Macaca fascicularis: one gene and its partners. The protein of the gene in region 2 interacts with the protein of the main gene of each other region in a biochemical or structural test. Links are inferred from orthologs where the notes say so. Each region holds a gene or a part of one and is shown on either strand. Other genes may lie near its edges.

What was found.
Region 1: the proteins of MAPK8 (region 2) and H2AX form a complex in vitro, tested with the Homo sapiens proteins (2 studies listed by BioGRID, with this or other methods). The link is inferred for Macaca fascicularis from reciprocal best matches to the Homo sapiens genes MAPK8 and H2AX.
Region 3: of the proteins of MAPK8 (region 2) and ELK1, one has a biochemical effect on the other in vitro, tested with the Homo sapiens proteins (3 studies listed by BioGRID). The link is inferred for Macaca fascicularis from reciprocal best matches to the Homo sapiens genes MAPK8 and ELK1.
Region 4: the proteins of MAPK8 (region 2) and DUSP10 form a complex in vitro, tested with the Homo sapiens proteins (2 studies listed by BioGRID, with this or other methods). The link is inferred for Macaca fascicularis from reciprocal best matches to the Homo sapiens genes MAPK8 and DUSP10.
Region 5: of the proteins of MAPK8 (region 2) and NR4A1, one has a biochemical effect on the other in vitro, tested with the Homo sapiens proteins (2 studies listed by BioGRID). The link is inferred for Macaca fascicularis from reciprocal best matches to the Homo sapiens genes MAPK8 and NR4A1.
Region 6: the proteins of MAPK8 (region 2) and GSTP1 form a complex in vitro, tested with the Homo sapiens proteins (2 studies listed by BioGRID). The link is inferred for Macaca fascicularis from reciprocal best matches to the Homo sapiens genes MAPK8 and GSTP1.
Region 7: the proteins of MAPK8 (region 2) and MAPK8IP3 form a complex in vitro, tested with the Homo sapiens proteins (3 studies listed by BioGRID, with this or other methods). The link is inferred for Macaca fascicularis from reciprocal best matches to the Homo sapiens genes MAPK8 and MAPK8IP3.

Annotation. Positions count from the first base shown.
Region 1 is NC_088388.1:117,961,373-117,965,180, reverse strand, and holds H2AX (histone H2AX), read left to right. Parts: upstream 1-1,546; 5' UTR 1,547-1,622; coding exon 1,623-2,054; 3' UTR 2,055-2,562; exon of another isoform or gene 2,563-2,760; 3' UTR 2,761-3,137; downstream 3,138-3,808. Other genes in the region: DPAGT1 (UDP-N-acetylglucosamine--dolichyl-phosphate N-acetylglucosaminephosphotransferase), read left to right, coding at 1-26; HMBS (porphobilinogen deaminase), read right to left, coding at 3,734-3,808. UniProt on the Homo sapiens protein: Variant histone H2A which replaces conventional H2A in a subset of nucleosomes. Nucleosomes wrap and compact DNA into chromatin, limiting DNA accessibility to the cellular machineries which require DNA as a template.
Region 2 is NC_088383.1:57,631,346-57,635,063, forward strand, and holds part of MAPK8 (mitogen-activated protein kinase 8), read left to right. Parts: intron 1-1,624; coding exon of another isoform or gene 1,625-1,696; intron 1,697-2,042; coding exon 2,043-2,114; intron 2,115-3,411; coding exon 3,412-3,594; intron 3,595-3,718. UniProt on the Homo sapiens protein: Serine/threonine-protein kinase involved in various processes such as cell proliferation, differentiation, migration, transformation and programmed cell death.
Region 3 is NC_088395.1:47,737,993-47,741,201, forward strand, and holds part of ELK1 (ETS domain-containing protein Elk-1), read right to left. Parts: intron 1,480-3,209; coding exon 1,036-1,479; intron 327-1,035; coding exon 1-326. UniProt on the Homo sapiens protein: Transcription factor that binds to purine-rich DNA sequences. Forms a ternary complex with SRF and the ETS and SRF motifs of the serum response element (SRE) on the promoter region of immediate early genes such as FOS and IER2.
Region 4 is NC_088375.1:79,702,800-79,707,183, forward strand, and holds the end of DUSP10 (dual specificity protein phosphatase 10), read right to left. Parts: intron 2,808-4,384; coding exon 2,542-2,807; 3' UTR 664-2,541; downstream 1-663. UniProt on the Homo sapiens protein: Protein phosphatase involved in the inactivation of MAP kinases. Has a specificity for the MAPK11/MAPK12/MAPK13/MAPK14 subfamily. It preferably dephosphorylates p38.
Region 5 is NC_088385.1:58,893,928-58,897,645, forward strand, and holds part of NR4A1 (nuclear receptor subfamily 4immunitygroup A member 1), read left to right. Parts: intron 1-389; coding exon 390-519; intron 520-853; coding exon 854-1,005; intron 1,006-1,325; exon of another isoform or gene 1,326-1,416; coding exon 1,417-1,619; intron 1,620-1,711; coding exon 1,712-1,890; intron 1,891-3,365; coding exon 3,366-3,622; 3' UTR 3,623-3,718. UniProt on the Homo sapiens protein: Orphan nuclear receptor. Binds the NGFI-B response element (NBRE) 5'-AAAGGTCA-3'. Binds 9-cis-retinoic acid outside of its ligand-binding (NR LBD) domain.
Region 6 is NC_088388.1:6,783,326-6,787,736, forward strand, and holds GSTP1 (glutathione S-transferase P), read right to left. Parts: upstream 2,972-4,411; 5' UTR 2,934-2,971; coding exon of another isoform or gene 2,933-2,933; 5' UTR 2,740-2,932; coding exon 2,619-2,739; intron 2,324-2,618; coding exon 2,217-2,323; intron 2,103-2,216; coding exon 2,015-2,102; intron 1,650-2,014; coding exon 1,546-1,649; intron 686-1,545; coding exon 578-685; intron 400-577; coding exon 211-399; 3' UTR 137-210; downstream 1-136. UniProt on the Homo sapiens protein: Conjugation of reduced glutathione to a wide number of exogenous and endogenous hydrophobic electrophiles. Involved in the formation of glutathione conjugates of both prostaglandin A2 (PGA2) and prostaglandin J2 (PGJ2).
Region 7 is NC_088394.1:2,528,119-2,531,836, forward strand, and holds part of MAPK8IP3 (C-Jun-amino-terminal kinase-interacting protein 3), read left to right. Parts: intron 1-589; coding exon 590-716; intron 717-1,064; coding exon 1,065-1,160; intron 1,161-1,250; coding exon 1,251-1,409; intron 1,410-2,101; coding exon 2,102-2,267; intron 2,268-3,065; coding exon 3,066-3,248; intron 3,249-3,325; coding exon 3,326-3,515; intron 3,516-3,619; coding exon 3,620-3,718.

The DNA of each region.
Region 1 (3,808 bases), on a different chromosome or scaffold from region 2:
TCGTTCGACTCTTCTATGATGTCTGAGTCCCTTGATCATTGTCCTTTACCTCACAGTCTCTAGGATTCCTGACTCAGGCTGACCTCTTTCTGGTCCCAGACTGCCTCCTTGCCCAGGCCTCTCTCACTCTTCATACTCTTCCAGATTTTGTTCTCAGCATTTTCTTTTCCCTGTGATCACTGGCATCCTGGGCGTTTCTTGCCCCCTACTGTCTACTGATTGGATTTTACTTATGACTTTCTGCAACTTGCTACTCTCCCTCTCCATCCTGTCTTTGCAGCCTCACAGGGTGGGATACAGAAGTTTTTTTTTTGCAGTTATCCACAGTCACATTTCAGAGTCCTGACTCTCAAGGAACTACTGGTTTTTGGGATAGAACTTGGGCCAGGGCTAGGGACACAGGCTCCACAGTGACCTGTTATTTGATTGTAAATTAAGTGTTCTGATTAGTAAGAAGTAAGCAGGGGGCCACATGCTCTCAATGGAGACAATAAAGTGTTGTCTATTTCTTATTGTTCCTGTAGGTATATTTCCTATATGGGCATTTTTGGGTGGATTGGGAGGGTAGGTGGGGGTACTTCCTCCAACAGGATGCCTATCTCTCTGCCCCACCAGACCCCGTCTAACAAGAAGTGAACAGAACTGAGACCAAACAGAACATATTGAATAAACATTTAAATCCTGATACTTCAGGTGGCATGGAGGGCCACAAAATTGAAGTTATCCTGTTTCCTGGCATGGGGTCAAACTTTCAAAGACACCAGGTACAGTGGCTCATGCCTGTAATCCCAGCACTTTAGGAGGCCGAGGCAGGAGGATTGCCTGAGCTCAGGAATTCAAGACAGCCTGGGCAACAAAACGAGACTCCGTCTCTACAAAAATAAATAATTAGCCCACTGTAGTGGAGCATTTGTAGTACCATCTACTCGGGAGGTTAAGCAGGAAGGATCCCTTGAGCCCAGGAGTCCGAGGCTTGCAGTGAGCTGAGATCACACCACTGCACTCCAGCCTGGGTGACAGCAAGCAAGACCTGGTCTATTAAAAACAAGAAAGAAAAGAAAGAAAGAAAAAGAAAACTTTAAGGGGTCTAATTTCTTCCCTTTTCCATTCTCCCTTTGTCAGGTAGGAGAAGGGAGTGTGGAGTGACCGGACCTGGAAAGGGTAGCTATAGTATTGACCCCTTTCCTTTAAACATCCTACGCCAGCACAGATTTCCCAGACGCTCTCTAGGTGGCCTCAGACTCCACCCCTTTTGTCTTCCGGTTCTGCCTTCCGACTGTAGTGTTTAAATCTCGCGCGCTTTACAAGGATTGGCTACATCAGCGGGTGTTTGGCCGTCTGCGTGCTACCCCGCCTCCTCGCCTTTTCTCCCCGGGCAAAAGGTTTTCAAATTCGACCAATCAGCGGGCGCGCTCCCTCAGCCGAGGCGCGACACCCAAGGGTTAACCGCAACCAACCGGAGGCGGGTATTGGAGAAAAGAGCCAATCAGGAGGGCGCAGAGGTGTGTCCTGGGGGCTTATAAAGGCGGCCTCACGGCGCGCGCGCGACAGCAGTTACACTGCGGCGGGCTTCTGTTGGGTTGTCTCTGAACCGTTGTACTTCACCGGTCTACCTCGCTAGCATGTCGGGCCGCGGCAAGACTGGCGGCAAGGCCCGCGCCAAGGCCAAGTCGCGCTCGTCGCGCGCCGGCCTCCAGTTCCCAGTGGGCCGTGTACACCGGCTGCTGCGGAAGGGCCACTACGCCGAGCGCGTTGGCGCCGGCGCGCCCGTGTACCTGGCGGCAGTGCTGGAGTACCTCACCGCTGAGATCCTGGAGCTGGCGGGCAATGCGGCCCGCGACAACAAGAAGACGCGAATCATCCCCCGCCACCTGCAGCTGGCCATCCGCAACGACGAGGAGCTCAACAAGCTGCTGGGCGGCGTGACGATCGCCCAGGGAGGCGTCCTGCCCAACATCCAGGCCGTGCTGTTGCCCAAGAAGACCAGCGCCACCGTGGGGCCGAAGGCGCCCTCGGGCGGCAAGAAGGCCACCCAGGCCTCCCAGGAGTACTAAGAGGGCCCGCGCCGCGGCCGGCCGCCAGGCCTCCCCATGCCACCACAAAGGCCCTTTTAAGGGCCACCACCGCCCTCATGGAAAGAGCTGAGCCACTTCAGACTGCGGGGCAAGCGGGCCGCGGCTCCCGGCTCCTTTCCCCTCCCATCGCCCGCCTTTGCCGCCCGGCCTCGAGTCCCCGCCCGCCCCCCTCCTGGCCTGCACCGCCTGCCGCGTCGGCCTCGGGCCCTGCCCCATCCGCCGGCCGCCCTCCGGTAGGGCTCGGGCCCTCTGGACGCGGCTTGGGCACTCTTCGGGGACCACCGTGGCGCGGAGGACCCGAGCCTGCCGGGGGGAGGCCGGCGGCGCCGCACCTGCCCGCCTCGGCGCTCGTGACTCAGCCAGCTGCCCCATCCTGAGTCGCTGAGGGGCTGCGGGGAGGCCGCAGCACCTTCTGGAAGACTTGGCCTTCCGCTCTGACGCAGGGCCGAGGTGGGCAGTCCAGGCCGAGAGGCCGGCGGCCCTGAAGGTGAGTGAGGCCCTCGGCAGCTGCAGCCAGGGTGTCCGGTACTCCCCCGGCGTGGTGCTTAGCCCAGGACTTTCAGACGTGGCCGCTGGCCTGGAGGCTTTGGTGGGAGAGACACGATCGCTGGTTTCGGTCTGGCGCCCCCTCTGCGGCCGGGACCCAGGCCTTTCACATCAGATCTCCCTCCATCTTCATTCATAGGTCTGCGCTGGGGCCGGGACGAAGCACTTGGTAACAGGCACATCTTCCTCCCGAGTGACTGCCTCCTGCGAGGACATTTAGGGGAGGGCAGAGGCCTGCAGTTTGGCTTCACGGCTGGCTATGTGGACAGCAAGAGTCGTTTTCGCGGAAGCCGACTGGCAGCCAAGCCTGTCGGGCCTCCCCATTTCCCTTCCAGCAAACTCAACTCGGCAATCCAAGCACCTAGATACCAGCACAAGTCGGTTAATCCCTGTCTGGACTGAGCCTCCGTTGGCTTCCGAACTGGAATTTTGCAGCTAACCCTTCCAAGACTAGAACCTTAGGCATTGGGGAGTTTTAGATGAACTAATTTTATTAAAGGATTGTTTTTCTAAAAATGGAGCATTTGTTTTCATTTTGCAAGAGAGTTGTAGGATTAGTGACTTTCTATACTTTCCTGATAGTGGGGGTGGGAGGGGCATGCAATATAAATAGGCTCTACTGTTAACCGAAGAAGGAGCAAACCATAGGAATTTAAGATTATGGCTCTGTTTCTTGGTGTTCCTGCGAGACAATTTATTCTGTGTGAAATGAAAACTATTGAGGCAGAAGCAGAAAGGATGTACCAGGAGAACTTTGGGCAAAAGTCCCAGCCTCCGAGGTAAGGATGAAAGGGCTTTGTGTTTGTTCATATCTTCCCGCCAACCCCCCCACACACACACACAAAAACACCTTCAGAGCTGGTTTATTAGTAGAGTTGGTTACATTCAAAGGCTGTGGCTTGGACTTCTCTAAAGAGATGAAGCCCCCACATACTGAGGAGGCAAGGCAGTCATCAAGGCCCCAAACTGAGGCAAATCCCCGGAAGGCTTGAACCCTGCAGTTCAGTCTTCTGAGGTAATCACTCCCCAGACAGCAGTGAGAATGGGGCACTGAGGGCCGGGATGTAGGCACTGGACAGCAGCAACCGAGGCATCTGTGCCCCACAGACCAGTTAATGGGCATCGTTAAGCTGCCGTGCAACATCCAGGATGTTTTTGGCTCCTTTGCTCAGCAACAAGTTGGCCAG
Region 2 (3,718 bases):
AGACTTACGTTCCTAGTCTTCACTGGCCCAGATAATATCTTCTCTCATGCTTGCAGCTTTCAAAATACTTTTGTTTAAAAATAGGCTTTTCTGGAAGTTACCAACATAAGTTGTATGCTGGATATTTAAAGTTTAACATTCTCTTTAAAATCTGTAGAGAAGATTTATTCTAATAGATTTTTGTCAAAAAGGAAAACCTTAGAAAAAATTTTTCTCTGAGGCACTAATTTATAAATATTAACTTTTTTTTCTAAAACCTTATCCTTGAAAGCTGAACCATGACATAAATATAAAAATGTTCATTCATTTTAATATGAAATTTTAGGGAAACTTTAGTTCCACAGTATTTCCAAAAGTAATTCCCAGTTTAGCTCCTAAGATTCTTCAGTGAACTGGCAGCCTTTTAGTAAGAATGTACTGTATTAGAAAGTACAGGCTTTAATTTTCTAAGTCCTTTAACATGAGTAAAGGGCACGTCTCTTTCTGACATCTATTTGTGCTGTTTTCCTCTTGTCATTTTAAAGAATTTGGACCTTCAGATGTCACAACCAAATGCAAGTTTCTAAGGCTTTTCCTTCTAAATTGCTCATTCTTCCCTCTTTTCCTATTAAACTGCAAGCACTTACTCTCTCCTTTTTGTGTGATAGCCAAACCCAAAGTCATAAAATGCCACGGTGTACAGTCAGTTTCCCTAAGTAGGTGGAGATTCCCAATTGTCTGTTTCTGTGTCTAGCAGATTCTTGTCAACATTGATTGGGATTCCCATTTACAGTTGGCAAGGGTCATCAGTAAGTCTTCCAGGAGACTCTAGATAGTCAGTTCGTGAGAACTGTCATACTGTGTCTAGCCAAAACTAACTTCTTAAATCAAAAGCAGTTTGGTTTTATGGCTTTAAAAAACTTCAGTTAGGAAACATGAAATACATTTCTCTTACAGTTTTCCTTGATTAGTTGTTAATTCTCTGTGCACTTGTTCCTTTTGGGATAGTAGGGTAAATGTGGCATCATGTTGCCAAGAAAACAAATGGACTTTTAGTTCAGAACAAGCATAACACTTCTCAATTAAATATATTTGGGAAATCCAGTTTAAAAATTCTAAAGAGCTTTAGATTAACTTTTTTATTGTAATTATTCATAGAGATTATTTGTTAAATATTTGAATATGCTGAATTGTTTTCTCATGCTTTTTTTCTTTTATTTAACTTAGAGAGTATAATGCACAGTTGAACTTCTAAATAGTATAGTATAAAGATTTTATTTTTATAATTTTACTACCTCATGTACATTTTTATTTACAAAGTTCGTGTTTGGTTCTGTTTCATATTTTATAAACAAGTTCTCAGGGACAAAACATGCAGGGTTTTTCTATTTATGCAATTTCTGTGCGTAGCTCTCACTTTGAAATTAGATATGTAGTTAAAATGCCACACTTTACATTTTCTTTTGTGAACCAAAGACTTTCAAAAAATAATTTGTGTTTTAAATTATTCCATGAGCTAAAGTTACGATCACTTTTTTCTTTTTGTGATGTTTTGCAGTTTTTATATAATGCAGTCATATTATGCTTCTTTGATTTTAATGACCTTTTGCTTTGCTTTTCCTTCTTTTGTGCTGCAAACACATAGTGGATTTATGGTCTGTGGGGTGCATTATGGGAGAAATGGTTTGCCACAAAATCCTCTTTCCAGGAAGGGACTGTATCCTTGTGCTGCTGCAGCAGTTAATTAGTTAGGCGATGAATTTCTTTATGTTCTCTAATGAAAATGAATATGCTACATTTATACAGATGGGATTTTAAACAGGCATAAAGTTTGTGGCTATTAGAGTTCAAAAATTGTTGAGATAAGCTGAAATATTTGTAGGCTGCATCTGGCAGTAGGACATACAGTCTCTGCTGGTAGTCAGAGCACATTCACTGTCACTCATTTTTATTTTATACTGCTTTTTATAATTTTAAAGTATACATGGTGTGTGTGATTTTCTTTATTTTTTTTTTATTTTAACCAGAATCTTTATGTTAATGTCATTGCATTTTGTTTTCAGTTGACATTTGGTCAGTTGGGTGCATCATGGGAGAAATGATCAAAGGTGGTGTTTTGTTCCCAGGTACAGATCGTATCCTTATCTTTGGCCTAAAATGTAGTTTCTAAAGGTCAAAATGTATGATAGCACTTCAGTTTGGTCAGGTGTAATGTATTTTGTCTCTCCCTAATATATTGTTAAATTACTCTTAAAATACCACCTACTATTTGACATAGACTTTTCTTTCCCTCATTTGTTGTTTCATATGTTAGTTCAGAACCCTGCTCAATTGTAATTGTGCACAATTACTTGCTGGCTTTGAGTTGATTTATTTAACCTAAATCAAAAGTCATGGCTTGCATTAAAAATTTCTAATAATTATACACTTAAGTCTAGAAATACGTACAACTTAATATGAATTTTGGAGCTGTCTGTTGCTTCTGGCCATCCTTTTGTTTTGTTCCCCACCTCCTTTTTGTTAATGTTCTATGTGGTTTATGTCTTTTGATTGTTGTCTCATTACTCACATAACATACCCTTTCATCTGAGAATTTCAGCAGTAGTTTTATATGGTGACGATAGCTTTGGATTCATGCTTTTTGTTCATCCCACTACTTTTAATATTTATATTAACAGTGATTTGTTATGTGTTTATCAGCTAGTAACATTTAGAATTGTTTCAGGAGGAAGAATGGAAAAAGCCATATTCACAAGATTACGATAAGTGAGTTTTAGGTCTTGGCCTTCAGGTTCCTGGAATGTAAAGACTAGAGGAAAGGAGACTAAGAAATCCCAACCTTACAACTTACCAAAAAACAATCTTTTTTATAGGCATCGGAGCTTTAGAAAAAATTTTTAAACATAAACTGAACAAAGAATGGCAAAAGATAATGCCGCTTTTATAGAAGCCTTTATTTTTATTGCAACTGGTTATTTTCTGTTAGTGTAGAAAACTTAGTAAAACAGGATGTGTTCTAGAAATAGTCGAGGAGATACAATCATGTTTTCTGATAAACTGACAGAAAAGGAAACATTTTGTGTATTATTATAGCATTGTGTGCCGTTTGCAGTTAGAGCCACTGTGGATAGTAATTGTCATTATTCTTAGTTACTTATAATTTTGTTTAGACTTTGTGAGTTTAAGCTTCCATTTTAAGGTAAAATCAGTTAGTATGAACACACACAATAAATAAGATTAACAAAGCTTATTTATTGATCATTTCTGTCCATCTACAATCATTGCCTTTTGCAAGGTGCTTGTGAGATATAAAATTTGTAACTGCCACATCCTTTCTTAGGATTTTTAAAATTTCCATTTTCTTATAATATGATTATGACTAATGTGTTGAACATTAGTTATGGAGTATTTTTCTTAGCTACTTGATATTAGATATTGATCAGTGGAATAAAGTTATTGAACAGCTTGGAACACCATGTCCTGAATTCATGAAGAAACTGCAACCAACAGTAAGGACTTATGTTGAAAACAGACCTAAATATGCTGGATATAGCTTCGAGAAACTCTTCCCTGATGTACTTTTCCCAGCTGACTCGGAACACAACAAACTTAAAGGTACTTTTACAAATATATACATTTAATCCCATTTGGGGTGTGTGTGTATGTGTTCGTGTGTTTATATGTATTCATATTCTTATGGGACATAACCCAAGGTTTTCTCTGGATGGTGGGAAAAAAA
Region 3 (3,209 bases), on a different chromosome or scaffold from region 2:
AGGCTTGGGCTGAGTGGAAGCTCTAGGTCCCGGGGCTTCCGGCCCTTTTGTGGCTGGGAGATCTCAGGGCTGGAAGCCACGTGGCCGCCCGCCTGCCCTGCGGTGTCCATAACAACCGCGGGCAGCCGGGCTGGCACGCCCTCCTGTGGAGGGACTTCTGGCTCGGCCTTGGTAGTTTCCGGCACAAACCCTCTCTCCCTGGCAACTTCCAACTCTTCCTTGGGCCCTTCCACTTTCACTTCTGGGGGCAAAGCCCGGCCCAAACCTGGCTCCACATTCAGCTCTTCCGATTTCAGGTTTGGGGCCTCGGGCGGAGTCAGGATGACCTGGGAGAGGAGCAGGTACAAAGAGGGTAAGGATTGTTGGGGCCACAGGATTCTCCTGTGGGCTACCCAGTGATTTCCCCGGGAAAGTGGCACTTGGTACTGGGGGCATCAGAGCAGGTTCTCCAACAGGACATAGGACTTCATCAAGGAAGTAGGGCTTCCTCTGGGGCAAGTCCTCCTATGGGACAGGGGACTTGGGGTAAGACAACCTGAAGCAGGTGGGAATCTGAGGGATACCATCCTCATTCATTAAAACAGTGGTTCTCAAAAATTTACCTTCCTCTGAACCAGCAACATCTGCCTCATTTGGTAACAAGTTAAAAATACAAATTATTGGGCCCCTCCCCAGCCCCACATATTCAGAAACTCTGGGGGTGTGCCTGGCAATCTGTGGTTTAACAAGCCCTACAGGTGATTCTGATGAGCGCTAGAGTGTGAGAACTAGTGCATTAAACAAATATATTTCAGGCACCTACATGTTCGGCAGCTACTAACTGTAGCACAGTATTCTCCCCTTTCTGTCTCAGGGTTTGTGTAGCTCTCTGCCCCATCCCTCCTTCTAAGAGGATGTCTGTGTTCTTCCTTCCACCATTATCTCCTTTAACAGGAGCACTATGTCTCTTCTACCAGCCTCCCTCATCATCCGGGGATTACACATCAGTCCTCTTTACTGCCTCCTCTTACTGGATTTCTATATTCCAGTCCTTACCTGCAGAGGCAAGCCGGCTTCCTCAGCCTCCAGGCAGGCCTCCAAGGGGCTTGGACTGGTGCTCCTGCTCCCCGAGGGGGGCGCTGCTGCTCCTGCAGGAGCTGCATTGGGGAGCACCACAGCAGGCCGAGGATGAGGGGGTGGCTGTGGCTGCAGAGACTGGATGGTGAAGGTGGAATAGAGGCCCGAACGCATGTACTCGTTCCGGCTGCTGCGTGCCAAACCACCCGGGCCTGCCATTCCTGCACCCTTGGGTGTGCCTGGCTTTCCAGAGGCAGTGTCCCCTGGGGTGGCATGTACAGCAGCAGGGGCCACATTTGGCATGGCGGAGGTAACAGACACCTCTGGCTGGGGCGGGCAGTCCTCAGTGGAGCACCCTGCGACCTCAGGATAGGACACAAACTTGTAGACGAACTTCTGGCCGCTCACCTTGCGGATGATGTTCTAGAAAGGGAGGAGAGGAACAGAGGGCCTGAGAGGAAAGGGGCAGGCTGGAGGCAGGGTGTGTGTATGTCGGGGTGGAGTGGTGTTTCTCTTCTCCTAGTGGCTCTCTTCCCACTTGCCCCTCTCTGGCTTTCCTGTCCCTCCTCTGTAAGTTCCCCTCTCAGCCTATCAGCCCATTTCCTCTCCCGTTGGTTTCTACCTCTTTCCTCTCCCCCTAGATTCCCCTTATCTATACCCCTCCCTAGTTCCTCCCCTTTCTCTCTTCTCTCCACAACAATTCTTTCTTTAAGCCCCTTCCCATCCACCCCTTTCCAAGCCTCCCTCTGTCACTCTCCAGGTCTATCTATCTGATTTTCCCACCCCCTCCACACTGTGGCTCCTCTTCACAATGGGGCCCGTGAAGGGAAGGTAGTAGGTGTGGGAGCAAGTCTTCTTGGCTCCAAGAACCAGGAGTTCACAGGCCAGGCCTTGTGGGTGACTGTCAGGACACAGTTTTGGAGACTAGCAAATGCAGTAAGACAAGAAAATGAAGTAACTGATATAAATGTTGGAAGAAAGTAAATTAATATAGATGGATGGGGCGATGAATTATTAATACAGAGGATTATTTGAAGCTAATGACACAGAAGTGGAATAGGGCAAGGTCACTGCAGAGGAGAGGGCGAGGAGGCCTCATTATTAATACCACTGTGGAGGTTGAAGCTAAAGCGGTAAGAAAATGAAGTAACTAACAGCAATTAGACAAGAATATTAAAAATACTGGTATAAATATTGGGAGAGGGCCTATATCAAGGCTGGCTTGGGTGGGTCACAGAGCATGTTTGGGGTTTTTCAGGTCTGGTGGGTCTCAGAGATGACCTAGCGTTCCCAGAGGGCACAGTGAGGGAGCCTCATTACTAATATTGTTCTGGAGGGTTGAGCTCAAGGAATAAAATATGAAAGTGGAATAAATGCCATAAACTATGAAGGGTATGCAGCATAGGTCCAGGGCTGTTCTGGGGGGCACGGGCAAGAGGAGTGTGGGAGCACTAGGGCATTCTGCGGAAGTCTTAGTGCTGGTCAGATATGTCACAGGGTGGGCCCGTGTTTCTCAAAAGAGGAACGAAAAGGGATATTCATGAATATTGTTTGGAAGTTTCAGCAGGAGGAATAAGAAGATGAAATAACTTGTATAAATATTGGGGGGAGGGGAAACCCAGCAGTGGCCTGGGGGTCTGAGAGGGCAGAATGGGGGAAATTTTAAATTTTAGCTGTAGGAATAAGATAATGAAAACAATTGATATAAATATTGGGGTAGACCAGTGCTGCTCTGGGAATTTAAGAAGATAGGGTGTGGAAGCTGGTACTAAACATGTTGTTGCAGAGGTTTTAGCTTAAGGAATAAGAAAATAATTGGTTAAAGATGTTGGGGTCCCAGAGGACAAAGTAAGCAAAAGTTGGTATAATACTGTCAGGGAGGTTTTGATTCTAGGAATATGAAATATTCTGGAATAAGAGAAGACTATGAAATAACTAGGGAAGCCCAGCACTGGTCTAGGGCTTCCAGAGGACAGAATGAGGACCAGCCATTATTAACCATGTTTTCAAAATGTTGGCTATAGGAATATGACACGAAAATGAAATGCGCATGGCAGGGCAGCATCACTGTGGGGATCTCAGAGTGGGAGTAGGAGTCAGTATTAATAATGCAATGATGGTTTTTGCCAAAGCAGTAAGACAAGAAAGTAGGT
Region 4 (4,384 bases), on a different chromosome or scaffold from region 2:
TTGGTTAATCTGTATTATTTTCATGAAGTGGTTAACATTCCTTATGAAGAAATGGAGGCTAAGTGACTCACAGCAGATTAGTAGAAAAGTCCTGAGTCCCTCTCAGAATCCTTGGTATTCTGGTTGGCAGGATTACTGTTTGCCTCAGGATAGGCTTTTCTCTCAAAATCATAAATTTCCAAAAACATAAATCACTTCCATGTGGATAAAGATGAGAAATTGTATTGATTTTTCTGTTTTGTTAGAAAGAAAAAAGAGAGGGAAAGAGGGAAAGTGGGAAAGTGGGAAAGTGGGAAAGGGAAGGGAAGGGAAAGGAGAGGGAAGGGAAGAGGGAGGGAAGAAAAGGAGGGAGGGGAACAAAGAAAAAGCAGAAGGAAAGAAGGAAGGGAGAGAGGGAGGCAATATACCTTACATGCTATCAGAAATTTAATATTTAGACTTAAAATAACAAAAGAAAAAGTCTGATAAATTACCATGTATTTTAAATCACTAATTATATATCAACCTGACTCCTTAAACCAAGGAAATTGTTAGCCTGAAGAATAGAAAGCACAGAGATTTACTTTTTACCTGATTAACACTTTATATTAAAATAATCCAAAATAGCTGTTAATTCCTGTTAAATTCAGTCTCCACTTTTCTATAAAAGAAAAATTTAAATTATTTTTGGTAGAAAAGCTATTTTTTAATGTCAAAAATATTTCCTTATAACATTTTCAAGCCAACATACACAAAATTATTTATGTCAAATATTGTCACATAGAATCCAACATGCCAGATTCTTCAACTCTTTTATTCACCCCAGGCAAATTTCAGTTTGCCATAAATCTTCCTTATGGCCAAGTCCCACTAGACTTTTAATTTAATTAAACATTGAAAATATTTGCATTGTGTTTTTCCCATACTCCCAACCCTCCATCAACAGTGAATTGGGAACCCAGCTATGCATTAACCCAGAGTTATAAGGAAGCTGTACATATGTATGGAGCTCAGTTTCAGTTTGCTGGGAAGAGTAGGCAATAGCAATTTGCTGCAATGCATTCCATGGTTAATGTCACCAAAGATGTCAAGTGAGCAAGTGACAATGGGGCAGTTGGGGCAGAAGAGGGGGAGAGGAATAGCAAGATCCCTAAGTGGAAGATTGTCCTAAGTTTTTATCAAATACCCACTAGGGAGATCACTGAATTCTCACCAATCAATCTGGCAGTGATTTGGACACCAAGGCGCAAAGGCAGATGGGATCCCCTTAAGTTCACTTTATGCAAGGCTTCCCCAATGCAAAAGGAATTATATTTGCAGGAGAGGATGACAGCATTGTGAGAATAGAAGGGATAGTGACTGGGCAGATCAATACTGGAGCTGTTTCACTTCCTTGCTAATTCTGTTTCACAGTGAGAAAACTGGATATGTTTCCTTCCTCATCTCTCTTTCCCTATATAAAAATCTGTGTTTTATTTCAACTTTTATATGCAAATTACCAGAGCTAAGAAAGGCTTGAACCTGAGTTAAGGTAAAAGAGGGGGGAAAAAAGACACATCCCAAACCAGTTTCATTTATGTAATGAAAATAAATTTTTACACAATCAACAGAAACACACCAAGATTTTTTTTGCGAAAAATATTTTTAAATAAATTTTTCTTTTTTTCTTACATTCTGATATACATATGTAACAAGGTTTATGGCACTGTAACCAGAATCAAATCAGAAAAAAAAAAAAAAAAAAGGAAAAAGGTGGGAAGGAAAGTAATTGATATATTGTTGAATTCCTTTCTATCTCCAACCTGGCAAATTTGCACTATTTGTCTACCATTCAGCTGCCAGCTCTAACTTGTTTGCACACTTAAAACATCATATTATTGCACAAGAAGCCAGTGAAGGCATATGGTATAATGGTCAGTTCCTCACTATTTCAAAAAAAATCTCTTAAACCCAGAGAAGGAAAAAAAAAAAAAAATGCAGAGCATGAAACACACAAAATCAAAGGTATCCTTTGTCTTTTTAAAGAATGCCTGAAGGATTCTTAGACCACTTAAGCTGCCCTGATCTTCTCTTTGCACCAGTGAGCACAACAGGGCTTGGTTTGGTTGGGTTTTTGTTTTCTATGTGGACAGCCCAGGCGGGTCCCAGGCCTTGGTGATTCAATGTCTTTTCTATTTACTTTTGGTTCTTTTTAATTGGTTTAAAGTGTGTAGTATTTTCGGTCTATGAACCTGCACAGACTATTTAGTCATAAACTCTACAAATAGCTTAAAAGGAAAAGGGGGAGCAACAAGTTGTATTATATTTTTATTGTTGGCTTAAAAAAATTACTTCTTTAACCTCCTGAATTTGTCAGTTTGTGGGAGGTGAATCTCAATGGCGTCAAAAGTTATAGTCTTCTCACACTTGTTAAAAATAAAGTGTTTAAACAAGTTTGTTTCCATTCACAAACTTTACTCCCAACTAAAAAAAAAAAAAAGAAGAAGAAAAAAAACCAGAATCCATCCTCCTTCCTCATTGTCTCCTAACGGAGAGCAGCAATCCTTTCCATCCAGACCATTGTCACACAACCGTCTCCACACCCATCAGCTTTGGTGTAAGGATTCTCGGTGTCACACCGTTGTTTAGGTCTTCCTCAAATTCTAGCAACTGCCCCATGAAGTTAAGGTTTGGTGAGATAATTGGTCGTTTGCCTTTGACAAATTTATAAGCATCAGTCATGGTCATCCGAGTGTGCTTCATCAAGTAAGCGATGACGATGGTGGCAGAGCGGGACACCCCAGCCTGGCAGTGGATGAGAAGCCCCTTCCCACACTGGTGAGCTTCCTCTGAAAAAAGGGAGAAAGACAAGAGATGAAGGGCAGATGGAAGGGAGAGGCACGGAGAGAGAAACTTTTATCTAAATTTTGCAATGCCTTATTTTGTAGAGAAATAATGAATTAAAACTGTTTTAAAGCCAAGTATAATCTACTAGTTCATTATATATATTTATGTCACAACTTCCAGAACTGGCTAAAGTTGATAGCAGCATGAACAAGAAGCTATACATCTACATTTAAAGAGAGGGAACAGTTTGCTTCACAGGTGACAGTGGCCTGAAGCCAGACCTATAACACAGTTAACTTTCACGCTGAACAAGCTACTGATTAAGTCAACTCTAACAGTCATTGAACCTCTCTCTTAAATGTCTTGTTCTCTTATTTTCTGGAATTATACTACTGAAAAAAAAAGAATGAAGGAAAAGGAGAGAGGGAGGGAAAAATTATACCAACACATGAAAATATACACTCACACACACATATATATATATGTATGTGTATGTGTATGTGTGTGTGTGTGTGTATATATATGTTATATATATATATATATATATAACAGTTCCTCTTTGGATTAAGGATGTTAATTCCAATTTTTGGTTGTGTGACTTAACAAACCTAAAGCTAGTAACAACAACTCTCTCACTTGTAATAGAGAAAAAAACACTTTCTTTATTCTATAGAATTGCTCTGTACAGGAACGGGAATTAAATGGATAAGAGTTTTAGTCTTACTAAACCCTGATTAAGGTTAAAGGAATAAAGCTAAACTAGAAACATGCTATGTTCAGCTTCTCCCCAGAAAATCCAGTTGTTGCAAAGTTAACTAAAGGCCAGTAGCATACAGGCCCAGGGTGTCACCTCTCAAGCGTTCAACCCCATTTGCATCCACGTATGACATTCCAATGTGGCAATAATGCAGAAGATGGAGGAATCCCAGCAATGGTTCAAAATCCAGAGCAATTGAAAGAGGAAGACTTGCTAAGTTTTCAGATATATTAAAAGCTCAGGACAATAGCGTGTGGGCACTGCCTGAACAGATTCTTAACGACATTTCTAGACTCTAACGCATCTCTAAGCAAGCTTCCTTGAAGGAACACCAATTAGATAAACAGGTAGGGAAGGAGAAGGAGTAGAGAGAATAGCGATTTCACCTAAACTACATCTACTGGCTAGCCACCAGTGGACGAAGGAAAAAAAAAACCTGATATAAATTTTCATCTTAAAAGTTTACAGATGAGGTTTACTTCTCATAGTCAACAGTATTTCAAGAAAAGTAAGCATCTCTCTTTTTCCAACCTTTTCCCTTCAGTGCACAGTATTGAGCTCCAAATCAAGACCAGAAAGCATGGTGATGAGAGAATGAGCTTCCAAGTGCCTGGCTGGACCACTGGTTCCACTACACACACTTGATTCAGGAATAAACAAACTGGCATAAACACTAAACTTAGATGCTGCTTAATTTATATTAGACTCTCAGTGAAAGCTATTATGTTTATAAAACCTGCTGTGTTTTTCCTAACGCAAGACTGTAAGATTTCAGTTTATCCAATAACATAACGATGAAAATAAAATTGCGCCTATGCAGGT
Region 5 (3,718 bases), on a different chromosome or scaffold from region 2:
TGTTTATCCCAGCGATGGTGCCTGCTTAACTTCCCATCCCCGCCCCCAGCCCTTTGGCCCTCTCCTATCTGCCCTAGGGAGAGGGCAGGCGGACAAGAGCCCATGAAAAAATACAGGTGTCTGGACTGCCAGAGAGACCCTGGTCCCCGATATTGTGTCCTGGGGTCTTCCTCAGAGGGAGAAACCTCCCCCAATGTCTTCAAGACTTTTCTCTCCCCCCCAACCCCCTAGCTCTCCCTCCCTTGCCACCCAAATGTTAGAAAAATAGCTGTGAACAGAGAGTGCTTTTGTCTGCAATGGCAGCAGGATCTGGACGGTCCTCTCCCCTAGGCTCCCCCCTCCCCACCCCACACTCTTGACAGCCTGTTCCGTGTTGCCCCCCCACCCAGCGCACAGTGCAGAAAAACGCCAAGTACATCTGCCTGGCTAACAAGGACTGCCCTGTGGACAAGAGGCGGCGAAACCGCTGCCAGTTCTGCCGCTTCCAGAAGTGCCTGGCGGTGGGCATGGTGAAGGAAGGTATGTGGCTGGGGTGCAGCCCAGCGGGGCAAGGGTAGGCTTAATTGGAGTGGGACCAGCAGGGTCCCCAGGCTTCTGCCCTGGATGACCCAGGGGAGGGCACGTCTTATTTCCACCCCATCTCTGAACCCCAGGCCTTGGAGGGAGGCAGCCTACACCTGCCTGGATTGTGAGGGTGGTGGCAGGGGGAGGTCCCTGTAGGGTACCTTGGATCTCAGGGGCTTTGGGTCCTAGGGACTCGGTGGGGCGCATCTCAGCAGTGGTGTGCGCGGCTTGGGCTGAGAGGCCCTTCCTCAGATCCCTTCCTTCCTCACCCCTACCCGTTCCTTTGCAGTTGTCCGAACAGACAGCCTGAAGGGGCGGCGGGGCCGGCTACCTTCAAAACCCAAGCAGCCTCCAGATGCCTCCCCTGCCAATCTCCTCACTTCCCTGGTCCGTGCACACCTGGACTCAGGGCCCAGCACTGCCAAACTGGACTACTCCAAGGTGAGGTCCCACCCCATGCCTGCCTCGGGGAGGGCTATGAGCACATGCAGTGCCTTTGTGCATGTTAGGAGAGCTGTCCCCTCCAGAAGGATAGAATGAGAAAGGAAGTTTAAAAAAGAAAGAAAGAAAAGCTACCCCCTCCGGTTTGATAGATCAAAGAGAGGAGCCCCCTCTGGGCTGACCAGATGGGAAAATGCAACCCCTCAGGCAGGTGGCCAATTAGAAAAATGTGTCCTGTTGGCAGCTGCAGCCCTGGGTTAATATGTGAGACTTGGCAAGCGAGAGCCTGGGCAGGATCTCACATCCACTCCCACCCCCAGGATCTGGCATCCAAGTGTCTGACACAGCCGTGTGTGGCAGTGGGTGCAGGACCCTGCCTGGGGTGCTGACCCCACTGGACCATCCTCCTAGTTTCAGGAGCTGGTGCTGCCCCGCTTTGGGAAGGAAGATGCTGGGGATGTACAGCAGTTCTACGACCTGCTCTCCGGTTCTCTGGAGGTCATCCGCAAGTGGGCGGAGAAGATCCCTGGCTTTGCTGAGCTGTCACCAGCTGACCAGGACCTGTTGCTGGAGTCAGCCTTCCTGGAGCTCTTCATCCTCCGCCTGGCATACAGGTGAGAGCTGCCGACTGTCTGCCCAGCCCCTTTCCCTGATACACCTGCCTGTGAACCACCCTGATCGCTCTTCGTGCCCATCTGCCTGCCAGGTCTAAGCCAGGAGAGGGCAAGCTCATCTTCTGCTCAGGCCTGGTGCTACACCGGCTGCAGTGTGCCCGTGGCTTCGGCGACTGGATTGACAGCATCCTGGCCTTCTCAAGGTCCCTGCACAGCTTGGTTGTCGATGTCCCTGCCTTCGCCTGCCTCTCTGCTCTTGTCCTCATCACCGGTGAGTGACCAGCACCACACCAGGTCCAAGGGAGTGGGTGTCAGGGAGTTGACTGGTTCTCAGGAGGGCACTGTCCCAGGGAGTTTGGTGAGCTGGGATCTAGCACTTTCTGGGCCCCTGCACTGCCCCGGGCTCATACCAACAGTAAAGTAGGGACCATAGGAATTGGAGATGGGCTCAGCTGCATCCAGCTCTAAAGCCCAAGACAGCCTTTGGTCCCAGACTGCCAGGATCTAGACTGCAGGTGTCATGTATGTGGCCTAGGGTATTGGCTTGTTTTTGTTGTTGTTGTTGTTGTTGTTTTGAGATGGAGTCTCACTCTGTCGCCCAGGCTGGAGTGCAGTGGCGTGATCTCGGCTCACTGCAAGCTCTGCCTCCCAGGTTCACACCATTCTCCTGCCTCAGCCTCCCGAGTAGCTGAGACTACAGGCGCCCGCCACCTCGCCCGGCTAGTTTTTTGTATTTTTAGTAGAGATGGGGTTTCACCATATTGGCCAGGATGGTCTCGATCTCCTGACCTCATGATCCTCCCACCTCTGCCTCCCAAGGTGCTGGGATTACAGTTGTAAGCCACCACGCCCGGCCAAGGGTATTGGCTTGTTTTGAAAACCTTCCTGTCAATTTTGCTGCATATAGAAAAGTACACAAATGGTAAATTTTTATAAACCACACTTACCCAACCAGCGCCTTGGTCAACAAAGAGCACATAACTGCCCCCCAGAACCCATTATTATGCCCCTTCCAGTCATTTGCCTTCCCCAAGGGTAACCACTACTTTTTATTTAAAAATTTAAAAAAATAAGATGGTACCTCACTATGATGCCCAGGTTGGTCTCAAACTCCTGGGCTCAAGTTATTCTCCTGCCTCAGCCTCCTAAAGTGCTGGGATTACAGGCATAAGCCACCACGCCCAGCCCTTCACTGTGACTTCTGACAGTGCAGATCAGATTGGCTGTGCCTGTTTTGGACTTTATGTAAATGTAGTTCTGCAGGATGGAATCTGGTGTTGAATGCAGAGGTTTTCAAATCTCTGTTTTTTAAAGGAAAGAATCCACCCTCGTTCCTTTTTTCACTTCAATTGCACAGGGGACCCCACTATATAGAACACAATCAGAGGTACTCTGGGCTGAGGGGTGTTGAGTTCTGAGGCTGAGTTTCTCAGAACAGTCTAGATTTTAAAAACCCAATGATCTAGCCGGAAAACCTCGGTTAGGATTTTATTTCCCATCTGTGACCCTGGGCAAGTCATTAGCCTCCTGGGCCTTGGGTTCTCACTTGGAGTATGAGGATAATGAGGGTTACTGCCTCTCAGACTTGTGATGATGCTTACTAATGGCCAACATGTGAACGCGCTTTTGTGAAGTGCCAGCAGAGCCTGAGGGGTGGTCGGGGCAGCAGTTTTAGGGGCCTGGGGAGGCTGGGGCTTTGGGGGCCTGGTTGTCAGATGTGCGGCTAATCCTGTACACTCCCCGCAGACCGGCATGGGCTGCAGGAGCCGCGGCGGGTGGAGGAGCTGCAGAACCGCATCGCCAGCTGCTTGAAGGAGCACGTGGCAGCTGTGGCGGGCGAGCCCCAGCCGGCCAGCTGCCTGTCACGTCTGTTGGGCAAACTGCCCGAGCTCCGGACCCTGTGCACCCAGGGCCTGCAGCGTATATTCTACCTCAAGTTGGAGGACTTGGTGCCCCCTCCACCCATCATCGACAAGATCTTCATGGACACGCTGCCCTTCTGACCCCCGCCTGGGAACACGTGTGCACATGTGCACTCTCATACGCCACCCCACGTGCCTTTAGTCCACGGACCCCCAGAGCACCCCCAAGCCTGGGCC
Region 6 (4,411 bases), on a different chromosome or scaffold from region 2:
ACAGCCAGGCTGAGGGCTCCAGGAAGCCACTGACTATGCTAGAGCAGCATTTTCTAGCCCTCTGCTCTGCCCTCCCCCCAACCTCCAGGCTAAGAGCTGAGAACCCCTTCCCAGGAAAGACAGTGCTCACAGCAGCTTTCTTAGAAATTGTATTGGTCCTGGAGAAAGGGAGGCAAGCAGCCCGCCTCCCGCTCAGAGTCCCCCCAACCCTCACTGTTTCCCGTTGCCATTGATGGGGAGGTTCACGTGCTCAGGGGAGGCCAGGAAAGCCTTGAGCTTGGGCCGGGCACTGAGGCGCGCCACATATGCCGAGAGCAGGGGGAACGCATCCAGGCAGCCGGGGGCCAGGACCTCATGGATCAGCAGCAAGTCCAGCAGGTTGTAGTCAGCGAAGGAGATCTGCAGGGCAGGCGGGCCGGGGACTCAGCCAGCGGGAGCAGGCTGGGGAAACTGGGGGCAGAGGGCCTAATCCCATCCCCTAGGTCTGCCCCACTTTGCTTGAACAAATGGCTCACACATATGTCCATCTGTAAGCAGACGGTGGCGAGGAAGGCACAGGATGGGGCCAGATGCTCACCTGGTCTCCCACAATGAAGGTCTTGCCTCCCTGGTTCTGGGACAGCAGGGTCTCAAAAGGCTTCAGTTGCCCGGGCAGTGCCTTCACATAGTCATCCTTGCCTGCCTCCTGCCAGACACCACCATGTATCATCCTCCTACTCTCATCCCTCCCAGCCCCTGAGACGCCCCCTTTGTCTGCCCCAGGCCAGAAACCAGAGTCTCAGAGTCTCCTCTGCTCGCTCCCTACAACCAGGCTAGTACCAAATCCTGTCCATTTCAGCTGCCAGTTCATCTCTATTCCATTCTGCCTGTCCATCCTTGCTGGGATTTCTCACCAGATGATTGCAAAAGCTTCAGAGCTGGCTTCTCTGGAGGATCCTTCCAGACCTCACATCCAGACACAGCCCTGTTCAGACTTCTCCATGGCCCCCAGGGCCCTTAGGAGACTCCAAACCAGTGGGTTCAAGGCCTTCGGGACCTGGGCCTGCTCCCCGCATCTCTATCTCCTTACCCACCCCCGACACACAAGGAAGTGTACGCGCGCACACACACACACACACACACACATACACACACACATACACACTCTGCCTCTGCTAAACTGGTCCCAGGTCCCCAGATGTGCTCTGTGTCTGCATACTTTGCTTAGCTAAAAGTGCCAGCACCTCCATCCAGAAACTGGTGACAGATCCTCCTCCGCCTCTGGCTACTCCAGGAAGCCCTCGCCACCCCAGGAGATCAGAAACCACCAGTTGCTGGAGGTCTCTGTCCTTGCACTCTCCCCCACAACCCGTTACTTGACTGGTTCATGTCCCAGGCAATGAGGGTGCAGGTTGTGTCTTGCCCCTGGCCCAGAGCTGACCCAGCCCCTGCACCCTGACCCAAGGAGGGGTCAGCCCGAGCCACGTGAGGGGTAGGGGGGTGAGGGCAAAAGCAGCTTCTTTCTTTGTTCAGCCCCCAGTGCCCAGCCCTGGTGCAGATGCTCACGTAGTTGGTGTAGATGAGGGAGAGGTATTTGCAGCGGAGGTCCTCCACGCCGTCATTCACCATGTCCACCAGGGCTGCCTCCCGCTGGTCCTTCCCATAGAGCCCTGGGGTTGGGTGGAGGGGAGCAGGCAGCGTGACTGGGCGCCTGATCAACACACAGTCACCGGGGATGGGCCAACCACGGGGCTGTCTGTGAGCCCCGGCCTGGGAGGAGGGGAAGAGGAAGTGCGTGGAAGGATGGGAGACTGCCACACAGGAGGTGCTCAGAGCTCAACTGGCACCTGAGAGGCAGTCTGGCACAGGGGAAGGGCTGCAGGCACCCAGGCTTGACCTTGGGCAAGCTACGCAACCTCAGTGGGTCTCAGTTTCCTCCACTCCAGAGGGCTGCGGGGCAGCTGATTGAAATAAAAGGGCTCCGGAGGCAGAGGCTTGCCCATCCCTGCCCTGGACTTGGAGGTTCAACACTCACCAAGAGTGCGGCCCAGGTGACGCAGGAAGGTATTGGACTGGTACAGGGTGAGGTCTCCGTCCTGGAACTTGGGGAGCTGCCCATACAGCTGTGTGGGGAGGCATGGCTCAGTGAGGGGCACTGAGCTTGGCCGTCCCCCGATCCTAGTCACAGCCCCCTAAGGCGCAGCACCCCCTCCCCTTGCCTGGGCATGGTCACTTACGCAGGAGGCTTTGAGAGAACCCTCTTGCCAGGTCTCCATTGTCACCACCTCCTCCTTCCAGCTCTGGCTCTGGTCTGCCAGCAGCATGCGCAGGGCCGCGCAGCGGCCTGTGGGGAGGGAGAAGCACGAGATGTGGGGACCGGGCAGACCCCGCCTCGCAGCAACCCGGAGGAGGGGTCAGGAGTGCAGGGAGGGTACAGGGGAACAGAGATTCCACACAAGATTGCACACAACACTGGGGAGGGGAGCAGGCATGGCGGAAGAGGCGGGGCACAGGGAAGGAGGCCCGGGGTAAAAGTCACACGACGGAGGGATAAGGGGGGTTCGGTTCTCTCCGCGTGCGCGAGGGACCGTGGGCTGCAGCCCTAGCCCCTGCCTCCCCTCCCTGCCAGAGGTTCCTACCTCGAACTGGGAAGTAGACCACGGTGTAGGGCGGCACTGCAGCGGACAAAGAAAGGTTTGCTGGAGCCCGGGGGAGGACGCCAAGGCGCGGTGCGCGCAGCCTGCCCTCCCCGGGTCCCATCCCTGCCCGAGGCGCTGCGGCCCCCTGAGAGCCGCTAACGGCACTGGGGACTTCCTGGGTACTCTGGGACCCCGTCCCGGGTCTCGAGGTGGGCGAGGGGCCCTGCCGGTAGCCCGAGCCTGATGCCGTGGGTTGGCCCCATGCTGGGAGATCCGAGCCCCATCCCCCGGGGGCGCGGGCCGCGAGGACTTACTAATGGCGCACGCGGCGGCGGCGACGACGAAACTCCAGCGCAGGCCTTGCGGCCTCCGAGCCTTATAAGGGTGGTCCCGCCCAGCTCCGCCCCAGTGCTGAGTCACGGCGCCGGCCGCGCCTCTGGAGGGTCCCGCGGGCTCCCGCCGGTCCCAGTCCCGGCGGCCGCTGCACCTGGCGTCGGCCGCAGAGGGGCGCCTCGGAGCTCCCGGAGTCGCCGCGCAGCTGGCCTGGGAAGCCTGTCCCTCTTCCCCAGGTGCCCAGCGGGGCCCAGGGAGTAAACGGACAGCAGGAAGAGGACTGCAATGAAGTGCGCACAGCTACTGGCGCTTCGGGGCATCGCGAGGGGAGATTCCCTAAGAACTCTGCGATCCCGGAGCTTGCACACGCGATTCGCGGGGCAGGGTGGAGGTCACTTAGGGGAGTGGAAATGGCTTTTATTTTATTTTATTTTATTTTGAGACGTAGTCTCACTCTGTCGCCCAGGCTGGAGTGCAGTGGCGCGATCTCGGCTCACTGCAACCTCTGCCTCCCGGATTCAATCAATTATCCTGCCTCAGCCTCCCGAGTAGCTGGTGCATGCCACATCTGACTGATTTTGTATTTTTAGTAGAGACGGGGTTTCGCCATCTTGGCCGGGCTGGTCTCAAACTCCTGACCTCAGGTGATTCGCCCTCCTTAGCCTCCCAAAGTGCTGGGATTACAGATGTGAGCCAACGCACCTGGCGCTCCTTCAACTTTTATTTAAAGTTCTGGGGTACATGTGCAGGACGTGCAGGTGTGTTACATAGGTAAGCGTGTGCCATGATGGTTTGCTGCACATATCATCCCATCGCCCAGGTATTAAGCCCAGCATCCGTAAGCTATTCTTCCTGGTACTCTCCCTCCCCAGCACCCCGCTCAACAGGCACCAGTGTGTGTTGATCCCCTCCATGTGACCATATGTTCTCATTGTTCAGCTGCCACTTATAAGTGAGACCATGTGGTCTCACTGGTTTTCTGTTCCTGTGTTAGCCTGCTGAGGCTAATGGCTTCCAGCTCCATCCATATCTCTGCAAAGGACATGATCACATTCCTTTTAGTGGCTGCACCTTAGGCTGTTTTCTTTGGCTTTAATGCCTGCTTTCTGTTGATTTGCAGATCTTCATTTATTCTAGATATTGATCTCTTGTTGGCTTTCAATATGACAGACAGCTTCTCCTATTCCATCAACTGTCAAGTTTGTCCAAGGAGTCCTTCATTAAACAAAACTCCTTAATTTAAGTGGAATCAAATTCATCAAGGGATTTTTGTGGTGGAGAAGGGGTTGGTGTTTACGTTTTGTGCCTTTAAAACTTCATTTAATGCAGCCGTAAAAAAGAACCAAGATCATGTCTTTTGTGGGAACATGGACGGAGCTAGAGGCTATTATCCTTAGCAAACTAATGCAGGAACAGAAAACCAAATACTGCATGTTCTCACTTGTAAGTGGGAGCTAAAT
Region 7 (3,718 bases), on a different chromosome or scaffold from region 2:
TGCAGTGGGGTTGGGGAGGCCCTGTCCTGAGGCCCCTCCCCTCCAGGACCTGAAGCTGGACTTTGAGGGCAGCCTCCACCTTGCTGGCCACGTGCCAGGGGTCGTGACCTCTCCCTGCACACTGCCTGCCCCTCCCTGCAGTGGGGAGCTGGGCTGCTTTGGCTCCGAAGTGTTTGGTTCAGGATGTCCCTTGGCAGAGGCTGTGCACACCAACAGTCAGGGGGCTGCGCTGGGCTCCACGGTGGCCTCTGCAGCAAGGACCCATTTCAGACGTATGTGCAGCAAGGAGTCGCTGGCCGCGCCTGTGCCCTGGCGGCACTCCAGGTCCCGGTCTGTGGAGCCCTCCGTGACTGTGGCCGAAGAGCAGCCTCTGGGTCGAGCAGGTGCCAGCTGTGGCCTGCAAGCCCAGGGGCATACCCGGTGCTGGGAAGGCCACCCTCCCTAGCTAGGCACTCGGTGGCCGGGAAAAGGCGAGGATGGGCCTCCCTGCCGTGACCTCCCCCAGGGCAAGCCTGGGGCACTGTGGGTGCCTGCTGCTCGGCTGCCGCTCCCCCTGGACAGAGACATCACCCATCATTCTTCCACTCAGCGACTGCACGTCCTCCGCCCGTCGAGAGCAGAAGCGCGAGCAGTACCGCCAGGTGCGTGAGCACGTGCGTAACGACGACGGCCGACTTCAGGCCTGCGGCTGGAGCCTGCCCGCCAAGTACAAGCAGGTGCGGGCGGGGCGCTTCGGGGACAGGGCGGGGCCCCGCGGGGGCGGGGCGTAAGGGGCGGAGCGTGAGTAAGGGGCGGGGAGAGGGCGGGGCAGTGCCGGGTGTGGGAGGGGACGACGGGCGGGGAGGGGACGACGGGCGGGGAGGGGCGGGGCCTGGCAGGTCCTAGTAAGCCCCCTGGGCAGGGGTCTGGAGGGTCGGAGGAGGAGCCCTGCGGCTCCCACGCCCCCACCTGCCTCCAGTCTTGAGGTGGCTCTGCCGCAAGAAGCTGGCAGCTCGGCCTAAGGTTTCTGGAGGGATGGGTAGGAGCCATGGCTGGTGCCCATAGCGCCTCCCTGTTCCCTGCAGCTGAGTCCCAACGGGGGCCAGGAGGACACGCGGATGAAGAACGTGCCGGTGCCCGTGTACTGCCGCCCTCTGGTGGAGAAGGACCCCACCATGAAGGTGAGCGGGCGAGGACCCCGTTCAGGCCTGCTGGGCAGGCGGGAGGCTGGGGAGCGCCGGTGACACCCGACCCCGGCCCTGCCCTTGCAGCTGTGGTGTGCTGCGGGCGTCAACCTGAGCGGATGGAAGCCCAATGAGGACGACGGTGGGAATGGAGTCAAGCCAGCGCCAGGCCGCGACCCCCTGACCTGCGACCGCGAAGGAGACGGTGAGCCCAAGAGCGCCCACGGGTCTCCCGAGAAGAAGAAGGTGAGTATGGCGGAGGCCACCGGGCACCCTCCCTGGCTGAGTCTCAGGACAGCTCAGCTGCAGAGCATGCTGGGAGTGAGACACAGGACAGCAGCCGGAAGCAGGGCGGCACAGGGGCTCCTGGACTGCGGGAAGCAGTGTCTTCCCTCCCCAGGACTGAGCCGCCTTCTGGGTTTTCAGTAGGAATCTTGGCCCACGTGGCTGTGAATGGGGCTGCAGCTGGGGCGGCCCTCCCCTCCCCTCTCCGAGTGCCATCCAGTAGTCTCCGTCCCCTGGCTGGGAATGGGGCTGGGGTGGGCCCTCTTCCCCTCCCCCTCCCCTCCCACCTCCCTCATCCCCTCCCCCTCCCCTCCTCTCCTCCCCCTCCCCTCCTCTCCCTTTCCCTCTCCCCGACCCCCCAAGTGGCCTGGAGTGGCAGAGCTTGCTTCCAAGTGGTCAGAGGCTTAGTTTTATGGCCCGCTTGGGCCTCTTGGAGCTCAGCGGCTTCCTCTGTGGAGACGAAACCACGTATGCAAGCGCTTTAGAGTGCAGTCCTGAGTCCGCATTGCTCTGGCCCCGGGAAAGGACAGCCATGTCCTCTCAAGCTACAGTTAAGGCTGGATCCTGACAGATTCTGGGAGTCCCATGGCCCTGTGCTCCTGCCGGGTAGCCTCAAGCTCGGGCTCTGACCTTGATCCCGTGCCCTGAAACAGGCCAAGGAGCTCCCTGAAATGGACGCCACCTCCAGCCGGGTGTGGATCCTGACCAGCACCCTGACCACCAGCAAGGTGGTGATCATCGACGCCAACCAGCCGGGCACCGTGGTGGACCAGTTCACCGTCTGCAACGCGCACGTACTGTGTATCTCCAGCATCCCTGGTGAGCGGCTGGAGTGGGCGTTTCCACTTGGGCGCCACTCCCTTTTACTAACAAGCTAAGTAAAAGCCCAGCCACACAGCACCCACCTTCTCGGGGTGTCCTCTGGACACGGGAACATGGCAGTGGACAGTGGGAGGGGCGACACCCAGTCAAGTGAGGCCCTGGGCCCTGTTTCTGGGAGGAAGCTCGCAATGGCCTCGGCCTCTTCTTCCTACCTACTTGGGACCCCACGCTCACCTGGTTAGAGGGTGAGGGGTAGGCACGGCTCGCAGCTTGAAGCATCACTCGAGGACCACAGGAAAACATTTCCTCATGCTGAATGTGAAACCTCCAGCTGGGCCGAAATCTCACGGCCTCACCAGGGGCTAAGGGGGTGTGGGTGAGGAGCTTCATGTCACCCCTGTGAGCAGTAACCTTGGTGATGTTCTGGGCCAGCCCCAACACTGGGAGGACGAAGGGGTGCTGAGGGCTCTGCCAGGTCTCTGGTGTGAAACCACAGGGCCGTCTGGGTTCTTGAGGGTCTGCCACAGGATCACAAGTTGTTTGCTCCCAGGACCAGGGTCTTACTTCTCAGCTCCCCTGGCCCAGGGGCCCGCCCAACAGAGCAGGCTTGCTGGAGTCCCAGGCCTGCAGGCAGAGGGTCCTGGGTGGGCTGTGGGTGGAGCCATGTGTGGAAGCTGGGTCTGCTGGGAGAGTGGGAGGCCAGCTCCCACTCCCTCTGCCCCTGTATGAGTGCTGGGCACACCCTTGCAGTAGTGGGTTCCCCAGCACAGGCTGATGGGCCGTCCCTCTCCCCAGCGGCCAGCGACAGCGACTACCCCCCCGGGGAGATGTTCCTGGACAGCGACGTGAACCCAGAGGACCCGGGCGTGGACGGCGTGCTGGCCGGTATCACCCTGGTGGGCTGTGCCACCCGCTGCAATGTGCCACGGAGCAACTGCTCCTCCCGAGGGGACACCCCGGTGCTAGACAAGGGGCAGGGTGAGTCCTGGGTGAGTTTCCCCCATACCCTCATTCCCACCTTTCTGCCCAGCCCAAGCTCACCTCTCCTAACACAGGGGAGGTGGCCACCATCGCCAACGGGAAGGTCAACCCGTCCCAGTCCACAGAGGAGGCCACAGAGGCTACGGAGGTGCCAGACCCTGGGCCCAGCGAGCCAGAGACGGCCACATTGCGGCCCGGGCCTCTCACAGAGCACGTCTTCACTGACCCGGCCCCCACCCCATCCTCTGGCCCCCAGCCTGGCAGGTGAGCAGGAGCGGAGGGGAGGCTTGCAGAGGTGGGAAGGGCCTAGGGGTCTTGGGGCAGGTGCATGCCCCGTGGCCCCCCTGGAGCCACCATCCTTCCTGCAGTGAGAATGGGCCAGAGCCTGACAGCAGCAGCACGCAACCAGAGCCGGAGCCCAGCGGGGACCCCACAGGAGCAGGCAGCAGTGCTGCACCCACCATGTG